Lepisosteus oculatus: one gene and its partner. The protein of the gene in region 2 interacts with the protein of the main gene of each other region in a pairwise test. Links are inferred from orthologs where the notes say so. Each region holds a gene or a part of one and is shown on either strand. Other genes may lie near its edges.

Evidence for each region.
Region 1: the proteins of lgals8a (region 2) and apeh interact in binary tests that used the Homo sapiens proteins (3 or more experiments, as listed by UniProt). The two-hybrid records come from large-scale screens. The link is inferred for Lepisosteus oculatus from reciprocal best matches to the Homo sapiens genes LGALS8 and APEH.

Annotation. Positions count from the first base shown.
Region 1 is NC_090699.1:64,304,911-64,320,228, reverse strand, and holds the start of apeh (acylamino-acid-releasing enzyme), read left to right. Parts: upstream 1-8,301; 5' UTR 8,302-8,328; coding exon 8,329-8,529; intron 8,530-9,127; coding exon 9,128-9,257; intron 9,258-10,065; coding exon 10,066-10,192; intron 10,193-10,890; coding exon 10,891-10,978; intron 10,979-12,122; coding exon 12,123-12,198; intron 12,199-12,512; coding exon 12,513-12,604; intron 12,605-12,929; coding exon 12,930-13,007; intron 13,008-13,620; coding exon 13,621-13,758; intron 13,759-13,864; coding exon 13,865-13,956; intron 13,957-14,288; coding exon 14,289-14,329; intron 14,330-14,598; coding exon 14,599-14,720; intron 14,721-15,156; coding exon 15,157-15,217; intron 15,218-15,318. UniProt on the Homo sapiens protein: This enzyme catalyzes the hydrolysis of the N-terminal peptide bond of an N-acetylated peptide to generate an N-acetylated amino acid and a peptide with a free N-terminus. It preferentially cleaves off Ac-Ala, Ac-Met and Ac-Ser.
Region 2 is NC_090697.1:11,724,571-11,740,065, forward strand, and holds the start of lgals8a (galectin-8), read right to left. Parts: upstream 6,789-15,495; 5' UTR 6,604-6,788; coding exon 6,565-6,603; intron 4,915-6,564; coding exon 4,826-4,914; intron 3,378-4,825; coding exon 3,167-3,377; intron 407-3,166; coding exon 287-406; intron 1-286. Other genes in the region: rrm2 (ribonucleoside-diphosphate reductase subunit M2), read right to left, coding at 8,614-8,766, 9,083-9,196, 9,282-9,386, 9,716-9,849, 9,960-10,054, 10,359-10,492, 10,633-10,749, 11,338-11,478 and 2 more.

The DNA of each region.
Region 1 (15,318 bases), on a different chromosome or scaffold from region 2:
CGCAGGAAGCTTGTCTTGGCTTCACTTCACTGTACTCTGGCTGGAGTTAATGGGGATCGAGAAAGGCAGACTGGAGCTTTGCACAATAGAAGAAAGTATCTGACTGCAGAAGGAAAGGAGGCAAGATTATTTCTGAGGGACTCCTGCATCCTGAGGAATACAAACATATATCTATTTCACTTATGTTTTTTTTTTTTACTGCTTTACCTCGCTGTGAGTTCTTACAGACTCCAGGGACTCCATCTGCCCAGGATCTATGATTCCAAACATTTGCACGCTCAGATGATGAACCCTGTTTCCGGGCCCACAATCTCCTCTTGTTCTGAACAAAAAAAGATAAAAGCTTCATAGGTTTTTCTCGTACTAACAGACCTTTTTTTTTAATTGGAGATGGAAGTGTCTGGGGGTGGAAAAGAGATTAAACAACAGCAACAAAAAATCTTTCTATTGTATGCTCTGTTTTTTTCTTAACATTCCAGTGTGTAATGACCTTTTTTTTTTGAATGCAGACTTGTATTTTTGCAATGTGTCCTGAAGTGTAAAGTGGATTTCGGATGTGGAATGCATGCAGAAAATCAGAGAACTTTATATCTAGGACCTAACACTGTTCATTATCTGAAGCAAGGAGGCCATAAGACATTTAAAAAAAAAAGGAAAAAGGTTCTATAAGATTATAAATCAGATTGGAAGAAGGAGATGACACTGAATCTGGCCACACCATCCAAGACTTTCTGTATGGAAGGATGTTAAAGTGCAGTGTGGCTGGGTTGTCTTTTAGCCATTACAGAGCCATCCCAAAGCTCTGGGTTGTCAGCGTTTCGGACTTTTATTTCCTTTGTTACTTCTCGTGTTTGCCTGGTTTTCTTTCACGGAAAAGAAAGAAACAGCCTTAATCATTGCAGTTTTGTTTTTTATTTGCATACCTCACAGTCTTTTTTTTAAAAAACAAAATCCATACAATCTTGACAATTTATTTTGTTTGTACACTGTTTACTGTTTACTGTATGTACATATTTACAGATAAAACACAGGCTGTAATATTTATTTTTGCTTATGTTTTTTTTTCTGTTTTGGTTACATCGTCTTATTGTTTTATCATCATTATTATTTATTTTTTAAAAAGCAATAGTGTGCAGAAGATAGTAAAGAGCACAATCTTGTGTTTTAAGTCTAGGGCCTGGAATGTTCACCTCCAATGTTTACTCTGAACTGTGCAATGTACTAATCTGTACTCAACAGGTACGCTCTGTGTGATGTCATTCCATGGTCTGTCTGGATGCACTGCAACACAAAAGAGAGGTACCAGATTAGACATGCAAATCTTTTTAGGATTAGCTCTTGTTCCTTTACATTATTAGTAGCCATCTTCCACAAGATTGTAGTAGGCATCCGCACTCTTTATGTTCTTAAAAGTCAGACTTTCCATTGGCCTAGAGAGAGCTATCATCTTGGAGTACCTAGTGCAGCAGCAGGGATTTTCTACTGGATATGCACCCCTCCCACTTCATTTCATCCCCACCACAGGACTTTGGTCAAGCGAAATATCGAAAGGAATCGATTTCGGAATTTAATCCAATAGATTTTCGCTCCAAGTAAGGGGCGCACAAAGTCCTGTGAGCAAAACATTCACACAGCTAGCTGAGATATCCAATTTCCATTCAAAATCTGGCCAAAGCAGAAGGATCCTAGAAGACTTTTTTTTTCTCTCTTATGCACACAATTGAGTCCAAATGCGAAGTCGGAGTTGAGCACAAACCGCAGTACTTACAGACTCCCAAAACATCTGATCTCGATTAGTTCAGGGAGGAAACAGAGACTAACCTGAAATTTCATTTGCTTGCTGAGACACGTTCAGTAAACCTCTCAGGTCAGTTTGCTCCTGCTGTTGTGTTGTAGATCCGCTGTTCCAGTTACCCTTGCTGCAGTTTCACGATCTGGGCATGCTGCAGCCGGTACCATTGCCACTGAGTATTTTATTTCTGTTCGTGTGCTTCCTTTCATCCAAAACGACAAGCAGACAAAGGGTGGTCAAAAGCAATTTCCATTTCCAACGTTCTATGCAATGATTCATATTTGAAAAGAAAAAAATGTTAATATTTAATACCACTATCAATGTTATGTTTAAGATTACGACGAAAATCGTGTTTCTGAGGAAAAACAAACTGGATAGACTCGTTTGTATTTAGCTACTTGTACGTATAGAATTTAATTATTGAATTTGTTTTTTTTTTATTTTAGTGGCATGTTCGAGCCCCTCACTCCCCTCTGTGGGACCCATTGCCAAAGGGTTCACTGTTAGTCTCTCATTTAGGTCTGTCATCTTGTAGCTTTGCGCATGGGTTGCTAGATCAGATTTGTTGTGCTCAGGTTTCATGTCTGCAGGGTGAATAGTGTTCTCCACTACAGGGCTGCCTGTCTATGCACTTGTTATTTAATAAAACCAAAACAACATCCACAGATGAATTCTCCACACTGAGAACTCCCTGCCTCAGAGAAAGGACAAACAGTAGATCTGACAGATCCTTTTATCAACGCGTACCAAAGCAGCTGACCTCACAGGCCTCTCCTGATGGCAGAGCCCCAGATAGATCAGAACTCCGCGGCAGTTCAGTGGAGCTTCGTGAAACATTTTTTTTCATTAAACGAAACATCTGTAACAAAGAAAAAGATGATCCACCTCTGAGTCAGGACATTCTCTTGAAATTCCATGCTTTTGTGCTCTCGTACAAAAACAGATAAAAGATTGTGACTTTAGATATACAGGAAAAATTTTACTTCTTTGTAGCCTGAAAGATTTGCCTCATTTTTGTAGCCCTAGTTTAATTCATCTGCCTGATACCCTTTTACCTTGGTGTAGGCCACACACTATTTTATGTTGTCTGATGCCAAAAAAGAAATGTTAATACTCTCAGCTGCATGTTGCACCTTCTTGTGAAGTTTTCCTCACGGTCAAAAGCAGACCTAACTCAAACCAGTGCAAAATAATTTTATAGCAGTAGAACTTCTTACGAAGGGATGTTGGTGCATTTCAACATTGCAGCCAGATCAGGCCATTCACAAGCATGTCCGGGTTTAGCTACAGTGTGTTTTCTGGATGGTATTTCCAACAGTGATTCGAACAACAGCATTTGTTGCCCATCATCCTACTTGCTTATACAGTAGCCTTTAATGTCCAAAGTCCAAGGAAAGGAATAGCTTGGTTATGTGATATGGCTCATGGAGTAGGCAGAGCAAGGCCTGTGGAATCTTAAGAAGCTTGCTTAAATTAAGGAAGTAGCAGAGGAGATGTCATTAATTAAGCCAGTAATGCTTAATTTTGTATTATTTATTAAACAGTTGCTTGTTCAATTAAAGTTTAACAATGCCTTCTATCTTTAATGTTTAACAAACAACAGGATTCATAGGACGGCAACAGAAATAATAACACTGCTCAAAGAAAATAACACAATTACCCTTTTATACTTCCTACACAGTGTCAGAAGAAAAGGGTTCTGCAAAAGCTGGCTTTAAGATTACTTGAATAATAAGTCATCTGGGTTAAAGAAGGGGGAAAGCTATTTCATATTGTTTACACTGTCTGATTGTAAATGGCATTCATTTTATTTAATGGAACTTCTGCATAATTTATCACTAATTTAATATGCAATTGCATCAGAATGAATGTTAATTTATACATGCAAAATAAAGCATTACCATTAAGTTTGTATTCATTAAGCTCCTCGTTCCTAATATTATCTTAGCACCCATTCTCCTAGACGGGGTTGAGCCATAACAGACAAATTAAATCATTTCTGCTTGTCTTTCCTTAAGATCTTTTTTCCTCACATTGCCTTTGTGCTGTAGTAAAATGTACTGTTTCAGCACGTTTGAATTGTGTTAAAACTGTGAACTATTATATAAACATTAAAGCTATTGCCTCTATAAAGACAAAAAAGACAGGAACAAATTAAAACTATCGTTAATGAGTTTTAGCAATTTTAGAGATGAATTTCAATATTTATCTTGCTGCATTTCTTTTTAGGTAATTCCAAATATTTTGGCATTAATGCCACAGTACAGTAGGATGATTGTGAAGTGATTTATATTGACAAGTTACTTAGTTGTTCATGAGATGTAATGAAAACTGTTCTTGGTACAGTATCTCTGGAATCATCATTGTTATTAATATTGTTATGGATTAGATACATTTGAGTTTAAATCTAGAATGACCCACCATTTTAATCTTATTCTTAGCAAAGGTTTGTATAATAAAAACACAAGCTATATTAAAAGAAAAAAATGAACAGATGCACATATCCATCTAAACATGTTACCTATATCATAAGTAAAGAGCTGGTTTTATAGTAATCTATTTATGATCATTGTGATTATTTTTAATTATTATTCAATAGGGCATCTGCATGAATCACAGTTAATCTACTGTAAAAAATCCCTTAGTTAAAGCAAAACAACCTATGCACACCAGATATTCCCAAACTGCTAAACTAACTGCTGACACCTTTGGAAACTTACCGAGTTATCTTTACTATTTCACAGAATGGTTTATGTGAGATCACCTGAATTAAAGAAATATCTGTACAGAGTGACACAAAATCACATTTTCTCATTATAATCCTCACGAATAGCTTAATATAGATGTATGGAATGTTATTTCCTCATTATTTCCATCTTATTGAATGCTACTGCATAATCATTCACCACGAATGTCTACAAAAAAACTAACTATGCAAGCTTCCATTGCTTTTTACTTAAATGTAATGAGAATGCTACAAAACAGAAAAAAAGTCATATTAAGAATGAGTAGGCTATCTTGTCAACAAGTAGGAAATAAATGTTAAATAATGTTGTATAACCTATGGAAAACAAAAGCAAAAATTCACATGTCAATAATACAGGAAATACGGTTTAAATCTATACTATAGTGTTTTTAATACTGCTTTAGAAAAATCCAAAATTTGAGAATCATGTAGAGTTTTTTTAATCTGAGTATGTACAGTATAGTTCCATAGTTGACACCAGTAACTTGTAGTTACAGTGTAATAATACGACTGTTACATGTTGCTATAGAAAGTAGTACTGATTAATGAAAAGGAATAGTTCCAGAAGCATCGGATTGTTCTATTTTAATACCATATTGCTCAGATTACCCTTATATGATTAATGTTACTTTAAAAAAATAATCAATTTGACATCTATTGATGTTTGTTACAAATGAGGATATTGGAAAAAAAACAATCTCAAGCTCTTATTAACATCAAAGTGCTCCTATTAGATTCACGTGTAACTACAGTATTCTGTCTGTATCCACATTTTTCATGTAGTCGGTATACTGGTATAATTCAATTGAGAATTAATCTGTAACATATGCTAAAGATAGTATTGCATATTTAAGATATATCAACACTGGATTTGGGGTAAGATTCTGAAAACAAATGATTCAGTAGAAATTAAACTTTCAGTGGAGTTTGGCATTGTCCTTTTGGCTCAGGAAAGCACATTCAAAAACAGTTTGAACTGCAACAGAATATGAGGGTTTGATGTATAACAAGCAAAGGGCTTTTTCTCAAATGGAGGATGGAGAGATGTATTACCAATAGATCAGTAAAGCCTTATTTGCTCTGCCAGTGTTCCCAATTCCAGTAAGGCGGTAACACTTGGGATATTCCTATCCAGGGTCTCCAGCAGTGTCTTTAAACATCATGTGTTTTTTTTTTCAGTATAGCACTCTGGTCTTTTATTCACGGCAATGAAACAAATCCATTTTGCTTTTCATCACCCGTGTACTAGCTTTGACATGCCACTGACAGGGTGATGGTCCTGTTTGCCGAGACATGCTACAGGACCATCATCGGAGTGTCAGATCATCTGTGTGGCCGGTGTTTAAAGTTAATGAATTCAGAACCCTTAGAAAAGACCATGGCAACCTACCCCCTGTCACAAACACATTGCCTGCACACGTTTAGGCAGGGGAAACCATTATTTTTTTATTTTCTCCCCATTTAATAACAAGTGCATGACCTAAAGCAGCCACAGGCACATTTCCCCCATTTTGGAAAATAACTGGCAATCATTTTCACTGTAAATAACGGCAATGACAATACAGGTCTTGTACAGCGTGTAAATGGATCACTAACGTGGGACGTTTTGTGCGTCCCTTGCTAGCCAACCTGCCAATTTGTGCTTTTGTGTATAAAAAACATAAAGCATTTGTGTATGTGGCTGGTTCATATCGACTGTTGAAAACAAAAGAACTTGTATTCAGAAACATACTGGTCTGTGTAGAGTTTCTTTATATGTTGTGTTTGTATAATGAGAATACTTCCTTAACAAAGTTATCCTGGCTTCCATGTATTTTTTTGGGGGGAGGACTTGGGGGGTGGATGTGGATCTGTAAAAAAACTATAAAAAATGAAACAAAATAAACAAAGTTACATTCACTGTTGTAAGTGCAATGAGCTGAACATCATGTATCCATTGTAAACTCTTGTGTATGTTTCAATGTATTCCTGTAAACAGTTGTAGTTAAATTTGGTGCATCATGTCATGTAATGTGATTAATGAGATAATGACTCTACAATACATTTCCAGCAGGAAAAAAATAAAGAAAAAATGAAACCTATCGATTGCTTCAGAAATAACTTTTTTTTGTAAGCAGGAAACTGCTTGAAGAAGAAACTGCGTTTCTTCCTATTGCTAATCGATGCAGTGAAGACAATAACACAAATGTATTCTTCACATGGTCTGCTCGGATTCCTTCTGGAAAAGGAGCAGTGAAAAAGAAACGATCAAGGGCATGCCAGCATCCCTGTCATCCTGCAACTTACATCCGCCAAGCCCACTGGAGCTCAGCACGCGTGAGGGTGGCCAGTACCTGGATGGGAGACCACCTGGGAAAGCTAAGGTTGCTGCTGGAAGAGGTGTTAGTGGGGCCAGCAGGGGGCGCTCACCCTGCAGTCCATGTGGGTCCTAATGCCCGAGTATAGTGACGGGGACACTGTACTGTAAAAAGGCGCCCTCCCACTGTAAAAAGGCGCCAATTTCCCATTGGCCTTGTGAAACATTTCGATCATGGCCTCCTAATAATCCCCATCTCTGAACTGGCTTCATCATTCTGCTCTCCTCCCCACTGAGAGCAGGTGTGTGGTGAGCGGACTGGTGCATCATCCAGGTGGGGCTGCACACTGGTGGTGGTGGAGGGGATCCCCATTACCTGTGAAGTGCTTTGAGTGGAGTGTCCAGCAAAGCTCAGTCCTAAAAACTGTGTAGAGTACTTCTAAACATACACACAACGGAATAAGGTGCATCGGTCATACAGCGAAGTTTTAGCTGAATCAAAAGAAAGGTTATTTTACATTAGATACATCTTTTTTTGGTTTCCTGTTTTTTTAGATAAAGAAGCTCAGTCCAATTAGGTGCAGAGTTTTATAAATCATAAAACCGATTATTCAAAGCACCTGTACGTTTACCGATGGATTGATTGAGCAAGCAATCGATTCGATTGAGTGAACCCAGGTCCATGAAGACTTAATTTTGTCCCCACATAAAACTACATTTCTTCATTTTATACAGCGCCCCAAATTTGTTCACAATTTTTAGAAATCGATGATATAATGATGACCTACACGGAAGGTCACAGGTGAAATTAGACCTGTCCTGTAAATAGGGCGTAATCATAAGACACCCACATGGGCGAGGGAATCCGCCACTTCCTGATCGGGACAGCCCACCCGCTCTGCAGTTCCGTAGGAGAGCACAGTGACGCAGATCTGAAATAAATTCATGTACCAACTTCACGGTTTACAGGCTGTAGTTGATATCAGTCCATTTTTGGGAAATAACTGGATAATCCAAATGTTATGCTTTGAACGTCGGCTATAGTAATATGATTACTCCGTTTAAACTTTTCCTTTCACCTATTTCCTTTCCTGCGTTGGTACAGTCCACAACTTTCGTTTCAGTCACGCCCTTTTGGAAATGGGACTACATCATTGAGTTTAATGGGAGGGGGGTACTATTTATATAGAAAGCTTTTGGTTCGTTGCTAATGATTATATTGTACTCACAGAGTTGCGTCTTTTATGTATATTTAATGCTAAATTATGATTCAAACATAGATTGTTATATTTTATTAAAATTTACTTAGGTCATTTTATTAACCCCCCCCCCCGCTTTTTTCTGCATAGTGGAGGCTCGTGTACAGTCTGACGGCAGTATGGAGTCTCAGGTAAAGTGGTTTAGAGTCGAAATCACAGTAAATTCATTGCTGGGTTTTTATTTCGTTATGTGTAATGCACTTGTCAGAGTTATTTTAAAGACGCAATATTAATTATGTATAGTTCTTATTTAAAGCAAGTTTTATTTCGTCAAATCTCGACAACTTTGTTTCAGCGGTCATGTCACTGCGGACGCAGTGTACATAAAGTAGTGATAGGTTTTTCTAAGAGAAACGTTTTTCCCCCTGGTATGTATATGTCCTATTCCACGGCTGGGCATTTTTCTTCCCAGGTTTCTTCTGCATTAACCCATAATGTAAGAAATATTTCCCGGTCGGTTATTGTTTTGTTTGACGCCATTTGCAGCGATGCAATATTTGGGTTTGGTTTTGCTTCAACGGTTAATTCGGGACGTGAACTAGATACCCCATTCAAAATCATTTGATAAAACTTTCAGGTTTTTTTTTGTACATTTGGTATTATACCGAGGGTAAATGTCGGGAAAAAGTCTTTGTCCACACCCTATGCTTGTAAGTTAGTATTTTTTCCTGTTCGCTTCCTGGTAAACGGTAATAAACGGTAATAAACGGAATATTGTTGCCATACCGGCTGTTTAAAACCACTTTCGTCACGACCTCTTAATCACTGTTGATTTTTAAGATTTGGCTCATTAAGTCGCAGTTTGTTAAATCTGAAATAACGATTTTCCATTTATCATAGGAATCTTAAAAATTTCAAAATGAAAATAACCTACAAGTTAAATAAAATAAGATCCTGTATTTTATTAATTATATTGTTTCTAGGCATAAGCGGCAACACTGAAACTAAAGCCTGTTACGTAGTAGTGTTCTTTTATGTGCTTTGGAGCGGAAGTAACGTCATTTTTCATCCTAGGCCGGTTTTTCCCTCAACAGGTAATCACGAATCCAGAGGAGATTGTCAACATTTACAGAGAGCAGAGTCGGTTCCCGTCTCTGACAAAAGCCTGTATCGGACCCGTGATTACATCCCAATATGGGGGAAAATACTCTAATATCTACACAGGTGATTACTGTATTTGATACCAATTTATGAAACCTAATGCAGACATTTATATTATAGACCTCACCAGCGTTGCCAAAAACAGATCACACATACCATTTTTTTTGCATGTTTAATGCATGCTCTGATGATGGTACTAATTAAACTAATAAGCCTTTCATTGAAATCCACCAAAGTATTGCCAATGTGGAGACCAGTACATCTAGCATATAAAAAGTTAGTAAAGAAGATTCTGTCCAGGCAAACTCTCCTTGGCTAGTTACTTGTAGCAGAAAGATCTAAGGATTTCATTCATCTGTTTCTTTAAAAGATCAGGTGCAGTAATCTCATTGTGTTCCATATGCTACCACTCTGTGTAAAGAAATGCTTCCTATTCTTTGTCATAATCATGCTACATTTTAGTTTAGTTGTTCCATTAATCATGAAGTAGTCCCTTGGATTAATTTTGCCAGTGCCATTTCATGTTTTTAATGCCTGATATGAAGTGTCCCCTGTCTTAAAATTATTCTAACTTGTGTTTGCATGACATAACGTTTAGAGCAGGAGTTAATCTTCTGCAAGCTGTTTTTCGGGGACTGGTGTTTTTTTTTTAATATGGTCATCGGAGTTCTCCAAAATGCTCATAAAATGTAATGGTCCATTTGTCAAAATGAGTGAAACTTTATAATGAAATGAACCTTGAAATTAATCTTTTCCTGCTACCATCTGTGTAAATCATGGAAGACTGAAGTATTGGACCAGTTCCATAGTGTTCAAAATTCTTCACAGGAATAAAAAAAAAAATGTATTGCCGAATTTCAATGTCTTCCAGAATGGACCCAGTGTGATCTGGAACGGAACGAAAACGTCAAGTTCTGTCGACAGTACATCGTGTTTCACGATGACAAATCCATTGTCTATTCTGGACCATCAGGAAATTGCACAGAGATAAAGAGAGAGTACGTGTCTTCATTTTCTTTATTATGAAACCAGCGGTCTGAGGATGGCCCAAGATTGCCATCTTTCTAATAATGCATTTCCCTTGATGCTGGACAGCATTCAGTGGATCGTACAGTACCTGCAGTAGCTGAAATGCTTTCTCCATGATTGTTTTTCAAAATTAACTGATGAAAAACTTTTAGGAAACCTGGGATTCATTCAGTAATTGCAGAACTATTTCTAATTTAAGGCTCAATACGTCTCAGGCCTCAAACCTGATCAGAAAATGAATGCTAATAATTCAACTGATCTAATTTCTGACCACATTCTGTGACCCTCTCAAAAAATGTCTGCAGGTGTCACACCTGAAGAAGGCTCCATAACCGAAACGTTGTGTTTTCTTTCTTCCTTTTTTTTCAGCATGGACTAAACCTATTACTTGTTCCTTTTTATACTCTTGCCTCTGTATATGTTCTGTTCCGGTGCTTGTTTTTTTTTTAATTCTTCACTGTATTTGAATTTATTGCCAATAAAATCTTACGCTGCATTGTATAAACTGTGGTATTGTGGTATAAGAATATCCATTCTTATTAATACACGTTTTCAATACATTTTTAAATCAGTCTCTCAGCATTATGAATAAATAACCCCAGGATTTTTTTATAGCTGATAAATCCTATTTCCTCATTGATAAGAGTTTTTTTGTTGATATTCCCAGGCTTCTGAGTGCAGACTCTCCTTCAGGAGTGATGAAGGCTGTCATCCGGGAGTGCAGCATCAAGGGAGAGGACAAGCAGTTCCTTGAGGTTAGATAATTCCTTACACTTATTTAGCACTTTTCTGGACACTACACTCAAAGCACTTTACAGTAATGGGGCTCCCCTCCACCACCGCCAGTGTGCAGCCCCACCTGGATGATGCAGCAGCAGCCATAGTGCACCAGTATGCTCACTAGACACCAGCTATCGGTGGGGAGGTGAACAGAGTGATGAAGTCAATTTGTAGATGGGAATTATTAGGAAGTCATGAGTGGTAAAGGCCAGTGGGACATTTGGCCAGGACACCGAGGTAACACCCCTGGGACTCCCTGGGATTTTTAATGAGCACAGACAGTCAGGAACTTGGTTTTACGTCTCATCCGAAGGACAGTATACTGTCCCTGTCACCATACTGGGGTATTACGAGCCACACTGACCGTAGGGTGAGCGCCCCCCTTCTGGACCCACTAACGCCTCTTCCAGCATTAACCTTAGTTTTTCCCAGGGGGTCTCCCATCCAAGTACTGGCCAGGCTCACACCGGCTGAGCTTTAGTGCATTACTCGTTGCAAGTTGCAGGGTGATATGGCTGCTGGCCATGTTATAGATGTGTCAAGGACACTCTGGACTGTTAATTGCAGTTTGAACACTACCACAGACATTTTTAGAATGCATCTCTCGTATTCCAGCTCAGATGAAATATTTGCCAATGTAATCATGCTAAGGACGTATACCAGTATGAGTGGAGAAAGGTTTCCTCAAGGCACCACTTGCAGCTGAGCAGCATTAGCGGTTTTCTGCCTTCCCATAATTCATTCTGGCACCCTGAGTCTGTACGTGTGCACAGAATAAGCTGTCAAATTCAGGTTTATTTGTGAGCATAATGGTAAACTTGGTTTAGCTTTAATGTTTTATATTGGTTGTTATGCTGCTTTCTAGTGATGGATTCCCTTGTTTTTTTAACTCAGTGATGCTGTCAGAACCCCTGTGCTCCCACTTCTGTCCACTAGAGATCGAATTGAAGTGTGCATCGTCATGCTGCTGTGTGAGAAACATTGCCACCTGCTTTCTGCACGTACCTGGTGCCGAATGACTTTGAATCCTGGGAGAAATATTCTAGAATACAAGTTTGACCAGACCTGCAGTGCTTATGTGAGCTTTGCCACACTCATCGAGTGCATTGTTTCCCTCAGATCTGGAGCAAGAACTGCAAAGTGAAGAGCATCAATCTGACTGCACTCAAAAAACACGGGAAAGTCTACGAAGATGGTAAGGAGCTAAAGATTTTTTCAGAAGCGCACTTTTTCAAAGTATGGCTTTGCAGTGTAGTAAGAGACAGGCTTATGGCCTTTGTACTGGACCACAGCTCCTCACAGCAACCTCTGACCATCCATGGTCTTCAAACATGTGAAGCACGGCAATGAATTTTAAGGAGGAGGTCTGATGTCACAGCTTAAGTTTTGCTTATTTCCCACGGTATCATAAGCACACTGCAAACTGTGCATTGGATGTCAGTTTAGCAGTTCTGTCTGCAGATCTTTCAGAATGCTGTGGGTTTCTCACAAACTTCTCATCTCTTCCAGATCAGTTTGGCTGCCTGGTATGGTCCCACTCGGAGACTCACCTCCTGTATGTGGCAGAGAAGAAGAGACCGAAAACGGAGTCCTTTTTCCAGGTCTCATAAAGGTGTCATTTGAACAATTACAAAGGATGTTATTACAGCAATGTACATTGAGAGGCTCTTTCCCTTTTTGGTGTCTCTGCTTTTGCGAGAAAACTCTTTAGTACCCACTTTATGTGGCTTGGCTCGGCTCCAACAGAGTTGTTGGACATGCAGAAGGAGCATTATGGATCCATGAGTCTTTCACCCATCTCTCTTTTTCCACTTTCACCCCTTTTCTCTTTTCGAGCTGCTGAAAAAGGTGGTTGGTAGTTTGCTGTGTAGTTAAGGTAAATTCTGTCATTCCGTTAGACCTTTTAATTTGTGTTGCTCCCAACAGACTGAGTCGCCGGAGACCAGCACTCTGGGTGTTGAAGAAGAGGCTTTGAAGGCAGAGAACAAGGAGGAAACCGTGAAAGTAGGTGCAGTGCCTTTATAGTTTTTTCTTAGTAGGTTCATTCTCTGTATAGGAACACAGGGAAGGTTGCAAACGAGAGCAATCCATGCAGCCCATCCACCCCAGTTGGTAGTTAGTAGTTAGGTGATCAAGGATCTCTTCCAGTGTTTTCTTAAAGGAAGTCGCAGTTTTATTTTAGCCACATGAATGGACAGTTTCTTCCACGCTCCCACAGCCCTATGGGTAAAATGTTTCCTGTTCTCGCTTTTAAATGCGCTTCCACACAGTTTACACTTGTGTGCTCTTTTTTTATTTGATTACTTGTATCGCGTCCCTTGTTGTCTTCTGTTCAGCCTGTCAGTGTACAACCGAACTTGACGAATAGAGAAATTCCTCAATCACATTTTGGTTAAAATTGCTCTTATTTTATTTTCATGCATTTCGGGAAACGTATTTGAACTGAATTTGAAGATTAGGCTAAATGGTTGTGATACTGCTAGCAGCTTTAGGTTAACAAGAACTATTTGAAGCCCTTGCCCCTCAGTTTTAGGAGGATATTTCAGTTTCACAGCTGAGGAGGCCTCGGTTTTCTCTGCTTCCATCTGTAGCTCTTCCCCGCCCCCCTGTTTTTTAGGGTGACCAGTTCGTGTTTTATGAAGACTGGGGTGAAACCCTGGTGAGCAAAAGCACCCCGGTGCTCTGTGTCCTTGACATCGAGAGCAGCAACATCTCTGTCCTAGAAGGAATCCCCGACAACATCTCTCCAGGCCAGGTCTGACTTGGGGTTCTTTATTTTTAAAATAACGCAGTAGAGTGAACCTCTTTTGTGTGTGCAGGGAATTACGGCCGCTACTTGTGACAGCGTCTCTGTATTTCAGGCTTTCTGGGCCCCCAGTGACACTGGTGTGGTGTTTGTGGGCTGGCAGCATGAGCCATTCCGCCTGGGTCTGAGGCACTGTCCCAACAGAAGGTTAGCACTGTCTGACCGAAAGCCATGTGTTAGCGGTTCCTACTATCGTAACGGAAAATGTGAAATTATGTGGATGAGAGGAGGTTGTGTGGCCCGTCTTGCTCATCCAGTTCACTTAATGATTCAGGAGGTCTCTAGATCGTTGTCACAAGCCCCTAGGGACTGGACAGCATTGCGGTTTGTCAAATGTATTGTAGAATATTGACCGTTTCCTTTAAAGTTCTTATCGTCATTGTCTTTATGCGGCTTCAGCTAAGAAATACTCAAGAGAAAGAGAAACTGAACCTGTCATACTCCAGGTGACACAAACTGAAGCTCGTTCTGTATTTTAGGTCTTCCTTGTTTTATGTGGATCTGACTGGTGGCAAATGTGGTAAGTGAGGTAATCCCCTTTTGGCATTGTCCTTGTAATCTTTTTTTGCATGTGGCTTTGCTGCTAGGATTGTTAAGTTTTATGGACAGAATGTCATTAGGCAGAGGTGTTTTCCATTACTGTGCTGTAACACAATTAGTTTTTTTTTTAATTAGCTGCTAGCGTGCAGAATCTGAAAGGCCAATACTGTTCAGTCAGCTATTGTGGTTGCAGAGACCTTTTCATAAGCACTGCCTGTAATGTGCGCATTCTCGTTTTTGTTGTTGCAGTGCAGCTCTCTTCAGACACCAGCGCGGTTTTCTCTCCCCGCCTCAGTCCAGACTGTTGTCGGATCATCTATCTGGAGTGTGGAGTGTTTGGGCCACATCAGCAGTGTAACAGGCTCTGCATGGTCAGCTTGCTTTAGAATGAGAGATGTTACTCAGTGATGTTTAATAGCTCGTAAACCGATAAATGGATTCCTGTTGCCTTGCAGTGTCAGATGGTTGTGCCTCATACTTATACTGCAGCATTGCTGATTGACAGAATGGGTTTATGTATTCATCTCAGCTTCTCTGAAGAGCTCCCCTGTCTAAGCATGTGTAGATAAAAGCGATGCAAAGTTTAATGTTGAAACTACAGGTATTTTCAATCCGCAGTAAAGTCTTGTGTAATTATTGGCAATATGCGCAAGTGGTGTCCCCTTAATTTCCTGTTTAACTGAATTTTTTTGTTTCTTTATGTAAAGGTCAATATGGGAAATCTCTAGAAAATCATGTGGTTGGGGAGGTGAGGGGCGTGTTTGGATTTGTAGTTTTCCTGAACATTTTTTTTCCCCTCATTTTCAGTATGATTGGTACACAAAGCAGACTAAAGTGGTGGTGGACGTTGTCGACAGGCCCACATCAGGTAACCTTGGCCGAACCTACCTTAGTCTTTCTGGTGCTTTTTAATTGTACGTAAAAGCAGCGTTACTGCCTTGTCGCAGGATTCGTCCCTGCTGTTGCAGT
Region 2 (15,495 bases):
GCCGATTTAAGTAACATTTCAGGACCATATTTCTTGAATACATTCCAGGCAAATAACCCCAGACATGCAGTGTTCAATAAGGTTTACGACATTTTTTAAAATGGATATAACTCACAATTTATGACCAAGAGCATTTCATTTCTAGGAACAGGGGGGTCTGTCGGCTAAATGTAGCAAAACTGCGATTTTTCAACTAGAGAAACAAAAGAGATGCACTCCTCTGTAGTGCCTGCTGAAAACGTACTCTGAAGTACTGTTGAAGGAAACCCCAAGAATATTTACTTACAGAGCTTGAAACGAATGCAATGGCCTCAATCTTGACTTTGCCACTTATTCCGAGCGTGTCCACCTTTTTGAGGTCCACCCTGTAGTTGTACTGCAGCAGGTGCTTCCCGTTCAAGGCCACCTGGAAGAGGAGGCACAGCAGTGACACTCCGCTCTCACAGCTGGGAGCCAAGAAGGCATGGCTTACCCTACAGAACAGCAGCAGAGAGTCTCAAACAGAACAGGTGGAGGTTTATTCCACGCTGGAAAGAAAAGAAAAGAGACGAGACACAACGTTTCGGCTGTAGAGCCTTCTCCAGGTGTGAAGAAGGCTAAATTGGATAAAGGTTTATCTAACCACTCTATCCAATTCACTTGAAGAAGGCTCCACAGCCGACATGTTGCGTCTCTTTTCTTTTCAGAACGGAATAAACCTTTACCTGTTCCTTTGCAGCCTGCGCATGCTGACGCAGCTCCCTACAACTACTGCTGTGCATTTTGTGCTTGGTGCTCGGTCGCTCATCATCTCTGTGTCATTTTCATGGCAGGAATCTGTAGGAGGACCATTATTCATCCGGCCATTCGTTTTCTAACAGCTTTATCCAGTTCAGGGCCACAGAGAGCCAGAGCCTATCCCAGCAAGCAATTGGCACAAGTCAGGATACACCCTGGACAGGATGCCAGTCCACTGCAGGGCACACACAGAAGCAAACACACACACACTGACACCTAGAGCCAATTTTCCCAGAAGCCTATTAACCAACCAGCATGTCTTTGGACTGTGGGAGGAAACCAGAGTCCCTGAAAGGAAACCCACACTAACACTGAAACTCCGCACAGACAGCACCCCAGGAATTGAACCCAGGGCCCCAGCGCTGCAGGGCAGTCATTTCAGTCATTGTGCCAACATGCCACCCAACCTTTATTTATAAAATTGGAGAATTATTTCTGGTCATACTGTATAATCTGCCAAATTTGCAATGGACTGGTTATTTTAAGGCACATGAGCACTTGCAAACAAGCTCCTCTTACATCTTCACCTGTCCGAGTCGTTCACCTCCTGGCAGGGGGCCGAAGGGGAGAGCAGCTCCCAGCAGCATCGCTGCAGCCGAGCAGCCAAGTCACCAGAGCCGCCGTAGCGCCGCGCGCCGAGAGGACCCGACTCACGCCCCCTCTACCCTGGTAGCGCACCCTGGACACGACGGTGCCTACGCTGACGGGCCGGAGGAACTGAACCTCTTTAGTCCTGAACGGAGAAGCCCACGAGGAGGACGGACACAAGTAGTCACAATCCTCAAAGACAGGGACAGAGTCAACCTAGCGGACGTCTTCAGGACGAACAGCAAAGCACAAACTAGAGGAGCCCGTGTGGGAGTGCTTTTTAACACCTGGCACCTCTCCCACTGTACTCCTAATGAGTACAAGCACGTGCCTCCTGCTGCTGGTTTGAAACTGGAGCCATGAATCTCCAACACAACAAACTCCACCCAGATGTTGGGAACTGGGAAAACCGCTGTTTTGACGAAGCTCATTGTCGGCAGGCTTTTTCCCGCCGAATAAACATTTATACCGAAGTCTGGGTGGATGTCAGCTGCAGGCATGTTATCAGGCGTTTCTTTACGCAAAGGTTTGTGGGAGTCTGGAACAAGCTTCACAGCCATATATGTGAAGCTGATACTTTGGTTTCTTTCAATATGAGATAATAATAATAATTCCTTACACTTATATAGCACTTTTCTGGAAACTCCACTCAAAGCTCTTTGCAGGTAATGGGGATCCCCTCCACCACCACCAGTGTGCAGCCCCCACCTGGGTGATGCGACATGAGCCACAGTTCTCCAGAACGCTCACCACACACCAGCTCTCAGTGGGGAGGAGAGCAGAGTGATGAAGCCAGTTCATGGATGGGGATTATTAGGAGGCCATGACTGGTAAAGGCCAGGGGGACATTTTGTCCAGGACACCGGGGTAACACTTTTATTGACCATTTTTTTCAATGACCACAGAGAGTCAGGACCCCGGTTTTACATCTTATCTGAAAGACGGCGCCTTTTTACAGTATAGTGTCCCCGTCACCATACTGGGGCATTAGGACCCACACAGAACACAGGGTGAGCGCCCCCCTACTGGCCCCACTAATACCTCGTCCAGCAGCAACAGGCTACAAACCAGCAATGTTTCAATCAATCTCTTGAAAGAAACAGTCAGCCAGGGCTAAGAACATGTGAACGGTTATTAATCAGAGGAGAGGATACCCGTTTGTAGCCTGTTTAGTAGTTAGTAGCTAATATCACTCTGCAACTCACAGCTGGCAGCCCACTGAAGCTCAGCAGGTGGGAGCCTGGTCAGTACCTGGATGGGAGACTCCTGGGAAAAACTAAGGTTCCTGCTGGAAGTGGTGTTAGTGGGGCCAGTAGGGGGCGCTCACCCAACGGTATGTGTGGGTCATAATATCCCAGTTAGTAATGGAAACATTATACTTTAACACAAGGCTCTATCCTTTGGATGAGATATAAAACCTTTGGATGAGATCCTGACCCTCTGTGGTCATTAAAAATCCCAGGGCGTTTCTCGAAAAGAGTAGGGGTGTTACCCCGGAGTCCTGGTCAAAATTTCCCATTGGCCCTTACCAATCATGGCCTCCTAATAATCCCCATCTCTGAACTGGCTCCATCACTCTGTTCTCCCCACTGAGAGCTGGTGTGTGAGGAGTGTACTGGTACACTATAGCTGCTGTTGCATCATCCAGGTGGATGCCACACATTGGTGGTGGTGGAGGGGAGTCCCCATTACCTGTAAAACGCTTTGAGTGGAGTATTCAGAAAAGCGCTGTATAAGAGTAAGGATATTTATATATCATTAAGATGTTACACTGGGAATCCACCCGGCAGGGACATCTTACCTTGAACATGTCTCCCTCCACCAGAATGATGGTCTCGAAGTTCTCCCCTTTCTGGAGGGGCAAGTCGTAGAGGATCTCCTCCTTGCCCCAGCGCTCCTGCTGCAGCGAGTTACACACCACGCAGGGGGAGCGCTTGAACCGGGGGTTGAAATGGAAGGCCACGTCAGCACGGGGCTTGGTGCTGCTCCCACACATAAAATCCACCTGAAACCTGGACAGGGAGGGAGGGGGCGAAAGAACCGGGGTGACGCTGGAAATGCGAAGCCACAAGTACGTGCGAGGAGATCACCTGCACCGGTGGTTCTGCACTGTTAACCTGCGGCGAGCGGAGAGTCCAGCTGTTCATTCTGTCCCCGAATCCAATACGGCAGCAAATCACACAACACTGGGCCGCAAATTCCTCAATCAACAGATCAATGAATACAATGCTCATCATGCTGGAGCCAGGCACCATTATCTCCCATTAGATTGTCGTATCAGAGTCTCTCACGTTTGCAGTTAACACTGTGACTGCACTACATCGTTTCAGCATTTGCAGTGTTTGCCTATCTGAAGGTGAGCTAAGAGGAAGGTAAACACAGACGATCAAAGGAACACAGGAACAACACCATCACCCTCCTGTCGCTCGAAGCTTGTGTCATGTGAGAGGACCTTGTTACGATGACTCTTGGAGACCAGGCTCTGGATAAGCTATCTGAACTTTGTTTTAGAGATCTTGCTGTCCGGTTATTTTGGGAAATTCTGATTTCCTGCATTGTGGAATCCTCGGACTAAAAACGTTCTCTCCCGGTTGGGCGATGCATTTCTAGAACAGGAAATGATTCCGATTCATTGAAATGACTGTGGAAATGATTCCCACTTCTGCATATCCATGGTCATAAAAGGGAAGATTTATTTCTGAGAAGTTCCAGGCAATGCTGGGTTCTCCTCTTTTTGGTCCGTTTAGGCATTGATTCCAGATTACAGGGCTAGAATTCCCTGTTTCCAGGTCTACAAGACGTTAGCCTTTGAAACACGTGGTCTTTTAAATACATGAGATCGATGAACTGGTGTATGTTGTGTAACGTTGCATATCGTACAGATGGTGTTTTGTTTTGTTAAGAAATATTTGTCCTGTCAAGTTTGACTCCGATTTTGTTACTCCATCACCAGACCTGTGACGGATGATAGAGAACAGCTCATGTGCCACTAGTATGCACACGCCTGGTTTTGCCACTCGAGTGTCATTCGCTGAACTGCGCTCTCTGTTGAGTGACAGAGACCAATGAATCACTGAGAGTTCACTGCCAGAATCCGTAAGAAAACTAAATTTGCCTTTTTATTCAGGCCAGTCCTACAAAGATGTTAAGAATTAGTGAATTTTAATACTTACTTTGAAGTCTGCTGCAAAAGCAGTCCACATAAGTGACCTTTGTCTCTGTCCCAAGCTAATTCTGTTTTCAGTTTAGAAAGAGCAAACATTCAGCTAATAAAACATCTCTATTAATTTTGAGTTCAGATTCTTATCTGGTGATAAAAGGTTGTATTTGCCAGCAGCTTCTCATGATTGATACTAACAAGGGGTTTCAGAAGTCTCCATGGCAACAATCATGGATTGCGAGCAGTGTGGACTTTCTGTAAGCAAACTAGTTGCTAAATTTCCTCAAAAGAAATGCTTACCTGTCAGCATCACTGAGAACTGCTCCTTGGATAAGTACCATATCACCAGGATGAAGTCCCCCCAGTATTGTCCCAGCATAGGGAATTGCCTATAATGACACAGAATGCGCAATCTTACGCTCATACCACAATACTTCATCCAATGGTTACAATTTTAAACATTCGTGTTACCAATAATTAAATCATGTCAGCACATATTTTCAAAGGGTTCTTGTCTGTTGTGGGCTCTTTCTGTGAGTGCTGTGAAACTCGGTTTTTACTTGGCACTGATGACACCTGACTTCTGTTTCAAGAATTTCACATTAAAAATTAAAATTCCACCCTGTTGAATCAACTGTTCTATACACATCTGGTCATCAAAGCTCTGCAACGTCAAATACAATTGTATCAGACTCCGAGATATGTATTTTCACTGAATTCATTTCTTTGTTGTCCTCATGTTTTTCTTTTTAAAGACAATGAAATTGAGTATATAACGTTATTTTGAAGCTCGCCTTTGCCTTGGGATCATTTGGAATTTGAAACTAGTTTCTTTTCTAGGACTCAGGTGACTGTCACCGACAGCATGGACTTGCTCCGGTCTGAACTGTTAAACGCAAAAGGCGTTGCTACATTACCAATCAGAACACCCTCTTGTGTATCCATTATCTCAGAAAGCTAATTTCATACAGCCCCGAATTTGAAAGACAATTCCCATGAATAAATTCTATTTCGACCTTAAAATCGAGCCAAATAAGATATGTCTGGTGAAATATCTTAGCTATTCTTTTATAATTCACCTTTCTGAAACTCCCATCGCGTGATTACTTTTCAAAAGAGTAATTTAATTCATATCTGATTAATTCATTAATATTTGGATAATTAATGTATAATAAGTTATGTCTGATGTGCTTTATACTGTTTGAATTGTTTTATTATTCGGTTATACAGTGTGTTATCAGTAAAGCCTTTTAAAGTAACATTTTGTAATGAAAATAAATATGCGTTAAACCCCATAATTGCTGTAGTGTCTGTAATACATTAAACTGTTACAAAACCACTGACATGAGTGGCAGGTACAACGAAAAATGGCCATTTTAATCCGAATGTTAAAAGAGGCAATAATGCAGTTTCTCTATACAGACTGAGCGCAGATGAGCTGGTCGCGGTTTCTCAAATCAATGCAGTAGAAGTTAACTCAGAAACGAAACTGCAAACCACGACTTAGCCAATGCAATTAAAGCAAACTGGAAATAAACCAGCCGACGACTTAAAGAGGCGTTACGGTAAATCTAGAGAAGCGACACTACTAAATCTACTGCATTTTCACCTCATTTAATGACCTGGCTCCCAATACGGTGTGGGGTGCACACAGAATTTACTTCTTTCCAGCAAACATTAATACATGAAGCAAGACAGATTTCACTTTCCACTTCTTTTTCTGCTGAGGAGTGAAGTGGGTAGGGGAGAACACGGTCTGACTCTTATCTCTCGGTCCATAATCGTCTCTTTCAGCTCATCTCCACAGCAATGCCGCACAACATGGTCTGCTCGAGTGACGCAGGCCGGCGCGCCCGACGCGACACGATCTCGCCAAGCATCTCTCTTAATTTTATTTTAAAATATATAACATTGTGCAGCACACCCGGCGGTCCCAAAACGAAAGAACAGAGCGACATTTGCGCGTCACCGACCACAGGGCAGCTGTGAGGCACTGGGTGCTGTGCAGTACACCCGCAGTGCGGTGCAAGAGATCTTACCGGATTTAAAACCGTTTGCCTGGGACTCGTAACAGACATGACTCCTGTCCTGAGTGAATACGTGCCCTGGTCCAGCGATTTATATCACGAAATTGCACGCAATTTTAATTCCGCCTTATTTTCACTTCCTCTTTCGCAGACCTGGAGGGCGGAGTGAATTTTATCAGCCAATCGTGGCTGAAGGTCCTCCCTGGCAGGTTGTTGATGCTGGGAAGATGTCACCATGTGATCGTGCTGTTCGAAAATGAGCTTTAGATCCATGTGGCTTTGCACTTGAATAATCAGATTGTGGGTAAAACACATCCGTCTGGAAAGGAAACGTGAGGTGTTTTTCTTTTTCTCAAAATGCTTTCAAACAATAGGAATGCTATTGGTTTGCTCAAATCCAAACATGTCTACAGAAATGTTCAAACGAATGTCGGTACTTGAAAATTAGGTGATTAATCCGGCAAACTGATTTTAAATCGATGAAATTGACTATTAAATCTTCCCTGGATCCCTAATTTCTGGTTATATTGTTCGTATTTTAAATATCAAAAGGCCAGTCCCAGCCCTGTCTTTGCTAGACTCATCTTTCCTTCATAACTGCTTCACGTCCCAGCCCATCAGGTCAGGAACCATCCCGACAGTTACTGTTCAGGAAGTAACACCCACAAAGTTGTTTTACTGTAGAGGTTCAAGCTTGGTTGAATGTGCTTCCTCATACCATACATCGTGGGCTAGAACTGTGGCCTTTTCAAGATCTCATTCCGACTTTCCGCTTAACATTCCTAAGTTTTAATCACATCTGTGAAAAAAAAAAAAAACACCCCTGAAATGCTAAACCACGAGCCCGGCCGAATTTAATTGATTATTCTTAATTGGGTGGAGAAAACCTTCGTGTGTGGGCCAACCATGAGCCTTACCCTGGGTTTGCTCATCTCCTTGGCAGTGCAACAGCATTCTTTCTCCCTCTATTCAGCTGACTTATATCCCACCCTCAGACAGCTCCCTGCTTACTCAAGGGGTTCCAGCACCCAAGTACTTTAAGTCCCCAAATCAGGGACTACAGCTAAACCCAGAATTACATTAAACAACTTTCATGATTTGTACTACCATAACCAATTACACTTCTAGTATCACAGCAGTGGAACACAATCACTGCTCTGCAACTGGATATTCCTTCATGGATTAGATTTGCAAAAACCACACTCCACGGACCCAGAGGCTAAAATATACTTGCTTTTAAACTCTCAAGTTCTTAGCGCAAAAGCTCTTGGGTTGAGGCGAAGGACAGATTAAGATTTAGTCATCATACAACTTGTAAAGTCTGAAGCAGTGCAGGATGTTACACCTGTTTTGCCACGTTTGAGAGCACAAAGTGGTAAGCATAGATCCGAGACCACAGTGGATCAGAAGGCTGCAGTAAACCGCCTAAATAAAAAAGCAGCATTGAGTGTTCTTACTGGGAACCTCCTGTAGGCAAGAGACCAGGCAAGACGGTACAAGTGGAGAAAACGGAGACTGTTTAGAAGGAGGGAGTGCTGGGAGCCTTGAGTGGCAGGACTATTACTACAGACTTGGAAGGGTGCTCTGCCATCAGCTCCACTGGAAGAAGTGGAGCCGATACTCCCATCTGCAAGACGTTTTACAAAACATCACTGCATTGTACTAACTGGTGTGTACTAGCCCTCCCAATACCCATGTCCTGTTAAACTGAAAGGTTCTTACTATAACCACAGTGTAGTAAAGTCAGGTACAGAACCTCCTCTGTATCCTTGAGGAAGGAGCATAGGCTTGACACAGATCCTTAAACCCAGAAGGAATTTCTAAACAGCCTTTATTATAAAGCCAATATAAAACTATAACCATTTACATAAAACATTAAAAACTGTACAATTGAATCCCTTTGACACGTTTCCAGGGAGGTTGTGCAAAACGGTCTGCTTTAGTGGCCTATTTCACGGCAACACACAAGCGATACGGGAACAGAGGCGTCTCTGGGCATCGGTCCCGTCTCTGTGGATGCGCTAATGCATACAGTCCCATCACCCATCGCGCTCGTCCGCATCAAAAGTCGGCATCCAGCCTGAACGTGTTGTCCGTCGGCGCAGACATGACGCCCATCCTCTGGTACTCCCCTACGCGCTTCTCGAAGAAGTTGGTCTTTCCTTCCAGGGAGATGTTTTCCATGAAGTCAAAAGGATTCTCAGACCTGTAGATCTGTGGAGACAGTTGCACTTCACTGAAGAGCAGCATAAGGCTATAAACTCGAGCTTTAAAGTTTAGTAAGCTAAACTGAGCACTGCAGTAAACACTGGCAAACAAATAGTAAATTTTTACCCAGATTTGTAAAATGGGTTAAAACAGACTTTTACATCATGACACAAATTGCCATTTACAAAATAAGTGCCAAAACCTGTTAAGGGCAGCTTTCAGACAGCTCCTCATAGTCAAGGAGTGCTGTCAGCAGCCATACCACCCTGCAACTCGCAACGGAAAATGACCAGTAAAGCACTAGACAAGTGGAAGGAATTACCTTGCTGAAACCCAGCTCCAGCATCAGCCTGTCCGCCACAAACTCAATGTACCGCTTCATCAAAGTGCAGTTCATGCCGATCAAGTCCACCGGCAAAGCTCGAGTGAGGAACTCCTATACAATAAAAAAAAAAAAACACATGGGATCAGCCAACAGAACAAAATAACATCCCAGCCCGGGTTAACGGAAGGGAACACACCTGTTCTATCTGGACGGCATTTTCAATGATTTCACGGACTCTCTCTTCGGAGGGTTTGTGTACCAAGTGCTTGAACATGAGGCAGGCAAAGTCACAATGAAGGCCCTAGGAGAGAAAAAAAAACCAAGACTGCATGATTCATTTGCTAGCATTGGATGGAGTACAATTTGTGTGCTATTGTACAGCAGGTGTCTGGAATCCTAAAAAGAAACTTGCAGGTTGAATTAGGCAGAGCACCACTGTTGAGAAAGGCATCTAACCGACAGCTCACAGGTCGGAATAACTATGCATAATCCAGAAGCAAAGGAGCAAAGCCGAAGGAACAGAGAGACCTATATAAGCATGCTAATGTCACTATAGACTAGGAATACGCATATAGATTATGGTTGTGGATTTGGGGGGGAATAAACAGGCTCTCGGAAGAAAAAACTCACCTCATCTCTGCTAATTAACTCGTTTGAGAAGGTGAGGCCTGGCATCAGGCCTCTCTTCTTCAGCCAGAATATGGAAGCAAATGACCCAGAGAAAAAGATACCTTCTACTGCAGCAAAGGCCACAACACGCTCCCCTGTACAGGGAAAAAAAAAAAAACAATGAGATTGGACAGGTGTGAAAAGTGACAGTTTAAGGCAGATCATTGTGCTAGAACAGGCACGTCTCCCAATAAACCTTGCATACCATATACAGCATCTTTGTTTCCAATCCAGTTCAGAGCCCAATCAGCCTTCTTTTTCACACAGGGCAGAGTCTCAATGGCGTTGAAAAGGAACTCCCTGCAAAAAGAACAAAACCTTCAATACAAGACCAGTTGGCAAAAGCACATTTTGACCTACATCTTCTAGGTCAACATGGGGAGCAACTGAAAGCAAGAAGTGCTTGGAGTGTCACTGATAACAGTGCACAACTTTGGTCATTAAGTGGAGTATAAAACAAGCTACCCTGGGATCAATTAACTACTAACTGGGGCTTGTGTGGCCTGTTTAATGGGTCAGCATCAGCAGGAACTGCAGCCCAATAACTCTGGCTTGGGTGTACAACTGCAGGTTGTACCAGAGGAGAGGCAAGAGCTGTACTGACCTCTCTTTGGGGTCTTTAATATACGTGTCGATGAGCAGGCTGTACATTTCAGAGTGGATGTTCTCCATGGCGATTTGGAAGCCATAGAAACAACGGGCTTCAGTCACTTGAACCTCCTGGCTAAAGCATTCCACCTGGAGGGGGGAGAAAGAGTTGAATGAAACAGGAGGATCTGGTCTGGGGTCTGCACGCACTTACAGACATTTCCTGCCGATATGAAAAATGCCAACTGTGAAACAAAACATCTAGAGCAGGGTGCGGTTGTGGATCCTACCAGATTCTCGTTAACGATGCCGTCGCTAGCGGCGAAGAAAGCCAGGACGTGGGAGATGAAGTACCGCTCTTCGTCCTTCAGGGACTCCCAGTGCTTGAGGTCTTTGGAGAGGTCCACCTGGCAAAAGTACAGGCGATTAGACACCTCTCGACGGCCTTCGAACGACACAGCTGCAGAAGACTGATCACATTCCTACACCACTTGCCAGGAAAGGGGTCCGTATACTCGTGGTGAACTAAGCAGTTCCACATGGGACTAAGTTGGTGGATACCATCAGAGACGGAGAACTGCACCACTGCTGCCTGCAACTGTAGGTCACACCCTCTTTGCGGAATGCAAGTTTCCCCCCCACTCAAGCACAAGTTTAAGAATTGTTTATTAAGCTCAAAGCTAAGCAAAATTGTTTAAACAGGTGGTCTCAGATAAACGGATTAGGATTTCTTTCAGGTACCAGTGAATACGCAACACTGTTTAAAATATTCCCCATAGTACCTAAAGCAGGGGGTTTGAAATGGCTGTCCCTGGATTTCTATGTAGTTTTCATCCTTGCCCTGAGCGACTTGGACTAATCAGTTGCTTAATTAGGAACCTGACAGGTCTTCATCAATAAGGCCCCCCATAAAACCCACAGGACTATAACCAACATCGCAGAGCGATTCGGAATTAAGGCGGACACCCAGGACACAGTGAGCATTAAACGCCAACCTCCTCCGCGGTCCAGAAGGAGGCCTCGGCCTTCTTGTACATCTGCCAGATGTCGTGGTACTCGATGGGGAAGATGACAAACCGCCGAGGGTTCTCTCTCAGGAGGGGCTCGTCTTCCACGGTCCTCTTCTCCGCTTTGGGCTTCAGCGAGAGGAAACGAAATGAAGCGACTTAAACGGGGGACGGGCGCACGTCACCCCGCGGTTGTACACCCGGGGGGGAGGGGGCTGAGCTAGCCGAGAGCCGGCCAGGACTTCAAGCCCGGAGCTCCCGGGACACACGGAGGACCTCACTAAAGAGGACATACCGCGGGAAGCCGACGTTTAGGCCGAGACGCCGGAGTGAAAAAAAATATCCTGAAGCCGCACCTACCCGTCAGTAACAGAGGACCAGCGAGTTACTCGCCGAGTCTAAAAGCGCCGCGCAGCGATTTCCTTCCCCCTCCCATAACCACACAAGGCAGAGCTGCGCTGCGTTTGGCGCCAACACCCCACACACACAGGAGAAGGTTTTCAACATCTTTTAACAGCCTCACCTCGTTCCCAGCGTCTTCGAAGATCCTCCTCGCCGTTTTGGACGCCAAAACCCTGGTACTGCTGAGGCTCGGAGGCTTATTCGAGTAGAGGGACAAAATAATCCCGGTTAGTCACCAACCCGCTCAACAATTGACTAGAAGATAACGGGTTGCTTCTAATCTGAAGTCACACAGTTTTTTTTAAGTCTATATAAATGCAGCCTTAGTGCGCGCACCGGGAGTTACCAGCACCAAGTTGTTGTTTTTTTTATAAGCGCCGCCATAAGACAAAAACCGATCTGGGTTACACGACGTGAGCTTCTCTTACACCAGCGAGTACATACCTCGCTTGCCAGCACCTATGCAAGTACTTACCGTGTTCTCCTTGTCTGTTAAAGAAGCCGCACTCATCTTGGAAACGATCACTTTCTCATTCTTGGCAGAGAGGGGAGAACGAGCGGTAAGCATCTTTGTTTGCCGGGATGAAGAAGAGTTCTTAAAAAAAAAACGAAATACTAAGCGACGATCTTAAAACGACGAACTAAAATAAACTCCGAAGGTTCGTATTAATCGTGTAAAACGACGAAGTCTAGCAACTGCACCCTAAACCTGCACTACAAATGCCGAAGAGGGGAATAAAGGAGGTTGTTTCTCTCGGTGAATTTATCTGTTCAACTGTTGGCGCCGGAATCCGTACAGCCAATCAGCAAGAAAGCAGAGCTCACAGCCAATAGAATCAGTCTTAGGATGAATGACAGCGCCGATGGCCAATAAGATATGCGTAAAATGAAGACAACTCAACAGCCAATCAAAACAATACCACGTGCAGCGCTCGGCACACAGCCAATCAGAGAGGCCTGAGGCTGACGCACACAGCCCGTAGCCAATCGGATTGTGGGTTGTTGAGGTATTCGTCATTTTGACGGGAAATGTTTCGTAACCTGGATGAAAAGGCGCGCTAAAAAGTTACACAATGCAATTTAAATATTATCTAATAAAACTAAGGATGTTATAAAACTGTTGTTTTAAACATATGGCATAAAAAGGCAACTGTTGTATTAACGAAGCCATCAGGAAAGCATCGGTTTGTATTTTAAAAGATGTCGGACGTTTACTAAGTTTAATAACTTGCATTGTTAAAAGATGATGAAATTAAATCTTAGTACGTTTTGTGAAAAACATCCGCACTTCATCATTGAATCACTTTTGAACTGTTATTATTGTGTTTATCTGTGAAGAAGCAGGGGGTAATTATTAAATTAACCTAACGCAGTTTTCCGCTAAAATGTTAAAAAAACATCGACATCCGATGTAGCCGATTTCTACTTTTAAGTAAAAAATAAGATATATGAATAGCCCTCAGAAATATATTACTAATGTAGTTTATGTACTGATGGGATCCAATAATATATTTTTTCTCGTGAAAGCATTTCCTGATATTGTCCAATATACATAAACAGGCCTCAACGGGCACGTTATACTAAATAATTTTAAATGTCTTACCGGTGCATACTATATATATATAGCTTGTCAAATCAATCGGGTAAGGAAAATACTTTGTGGTTGTTTAACTTCACATACAGTTAATGTAATCCAAGCGGAACTGAAAAACATTGTTTAAGCAGACGCAAAGCAGTCGAGAAATAGTTGACTGTTAGGACAAATCGTGCAACTAATCCAACTGTGAATAATAAAAAAAACATACTCCACAATTGCCGAATTTGCTTTGTGAAATTCGACGCCAAACAGTTATTTACTGTAGTAACTTATTTAGAATAAACGATCCTCAGTCATGCTCTGCATCACCTCGACCCGTGGACAAACGAGTAAAGGTTGGGTTAAAACAACAGTTACAGAACTATTTCTTAAAAGACAACCAGTCTCTTTCAAGTGTCACGAATTTCAACATCGTGGAAAACAAATGCGTTTCGGGTACAGTATGTATATAGTCTTAAACCTCGAAGACTTTTTTTAAACTTATGAGTAGTCACAACAAGGTGGAGGATCAGGTCAATACGCACTTGTTTTCTGGTAGCATTTTGAGTTATTTACACGATCATCTTTATTTCATATTGCATGTGTCATGTTCTGTATCGCAGTGTCCTTACGTGCTGGAAACACGTTAAACTAAAGCACCGAAAGTACGGTTAGGCCTTTCGGGCAGCCCGTGGGGTTTTGTCTTGGCTTCAGAACTACCGACATTTTTTCATTACGATTTCGCCGTACAATACAACAGAAAGAACCTCGATTAATTAAATGCATGAAACTAAATATAATGTAGATTTTAACAAAGCATAACATTAGCTACTCAACGCTATTATTGTTGTTATTGTTATTATTATTATTACAGGCGATTACCGTCAGCTGCTCTAGGCCGCTTCTCAAAGCGCTTGATAAACCACTTTTAAAGGCGCTATATATATATATAACAAGTTTATTATTATTAGGCCAAATGTTCAACTTTAAATGCAATGCCGTCAGTAGGCTAGATTGCAGTTGCCATTCCTTGCCGCCGGGGGGAGCCATTTCATTCACCATTGAGCAAGAAGGTTAGTCCAGCGAGAACTGTTAATGTAATCGCTCCGCTGTTTGCCGTGCTAGAAACACTTAAAAACTCAACAACTCACCAGGGCCTGATGGTATTCGACCAATAATTGTACTGTATACCAATATGCCTTGCTTATAATAATTATAATAATTGCTTACACTTATATAGCGCTTTTCTGGACACTCCACTCAAAGTGCTTCACAGGTAATGGGGACTCCCCTCCACCACCACCACCAGTGTGCAGCCCCCACCTGGATGATGCGACGGCAGCCATAGTGCACCAGTACGCTCACCACACACCAGCTCTCAGTGGGGAGGAGAGCAGAGTGAGGAAGCCAGTTCATGGATGGGGATCATTAGGAGGCCATGAGTGGTAAAGGCCAGGGGGTATTTTGGCCAGGACACCAGGGTAACACCCCTACTCTTTTCAGGAAACGCCCTGGGATTTTTCATGACCACAGAGAGCCAGGACTTTAGTTTTGCACCTCATCTGAAGGACAGCGCTTTTTTACAGTATAGTGTCCCCGTCACTATACTGGGGCATAAGGACCCACACAGACCACAGGGTGAGCGCCCCCTGCTGGCCCCACTAACACCTCTTCCAGCAGCAACCTTAGTTTTTCCCAGGAGGTCTCCCATCCAGGTACTGGCCAGGCTCCCACCTGCTGAGCCCCAGTGGATGGCCAGTTGTGAGCTGCAGGGTGATATAGCTGCTGAAACACAAACCAGGGAACACAAACGCAGACTAAGGGGAAATGCATCGTAAGGGGTCCCTGGAGCAGGCTGTGCAGTCATGTCACTGGAGCTGACCCTCATTCCTTTCAGAGGCCGGCTGGATGGATTCCTTGGATCAATCAGCTACTTGCAGCCGGCTTCACTGGATGGACAGAATGGTCTCTTCTGCCCTGTCAAGTTCCGTGGGATTCATTTTGATTGTAATAATAACCGAACTTAATCGTTTTTCATGGCTTGCGGATTGTTTCTCTGATATTTGAGAATATTGAAGAATATAGGAAACTTATAGTATATGCCATGAGAAATCTATGGCTAATCAGTACCGTGTCAGAGTACCTGAACTTTCCTAATAGGTACTGCT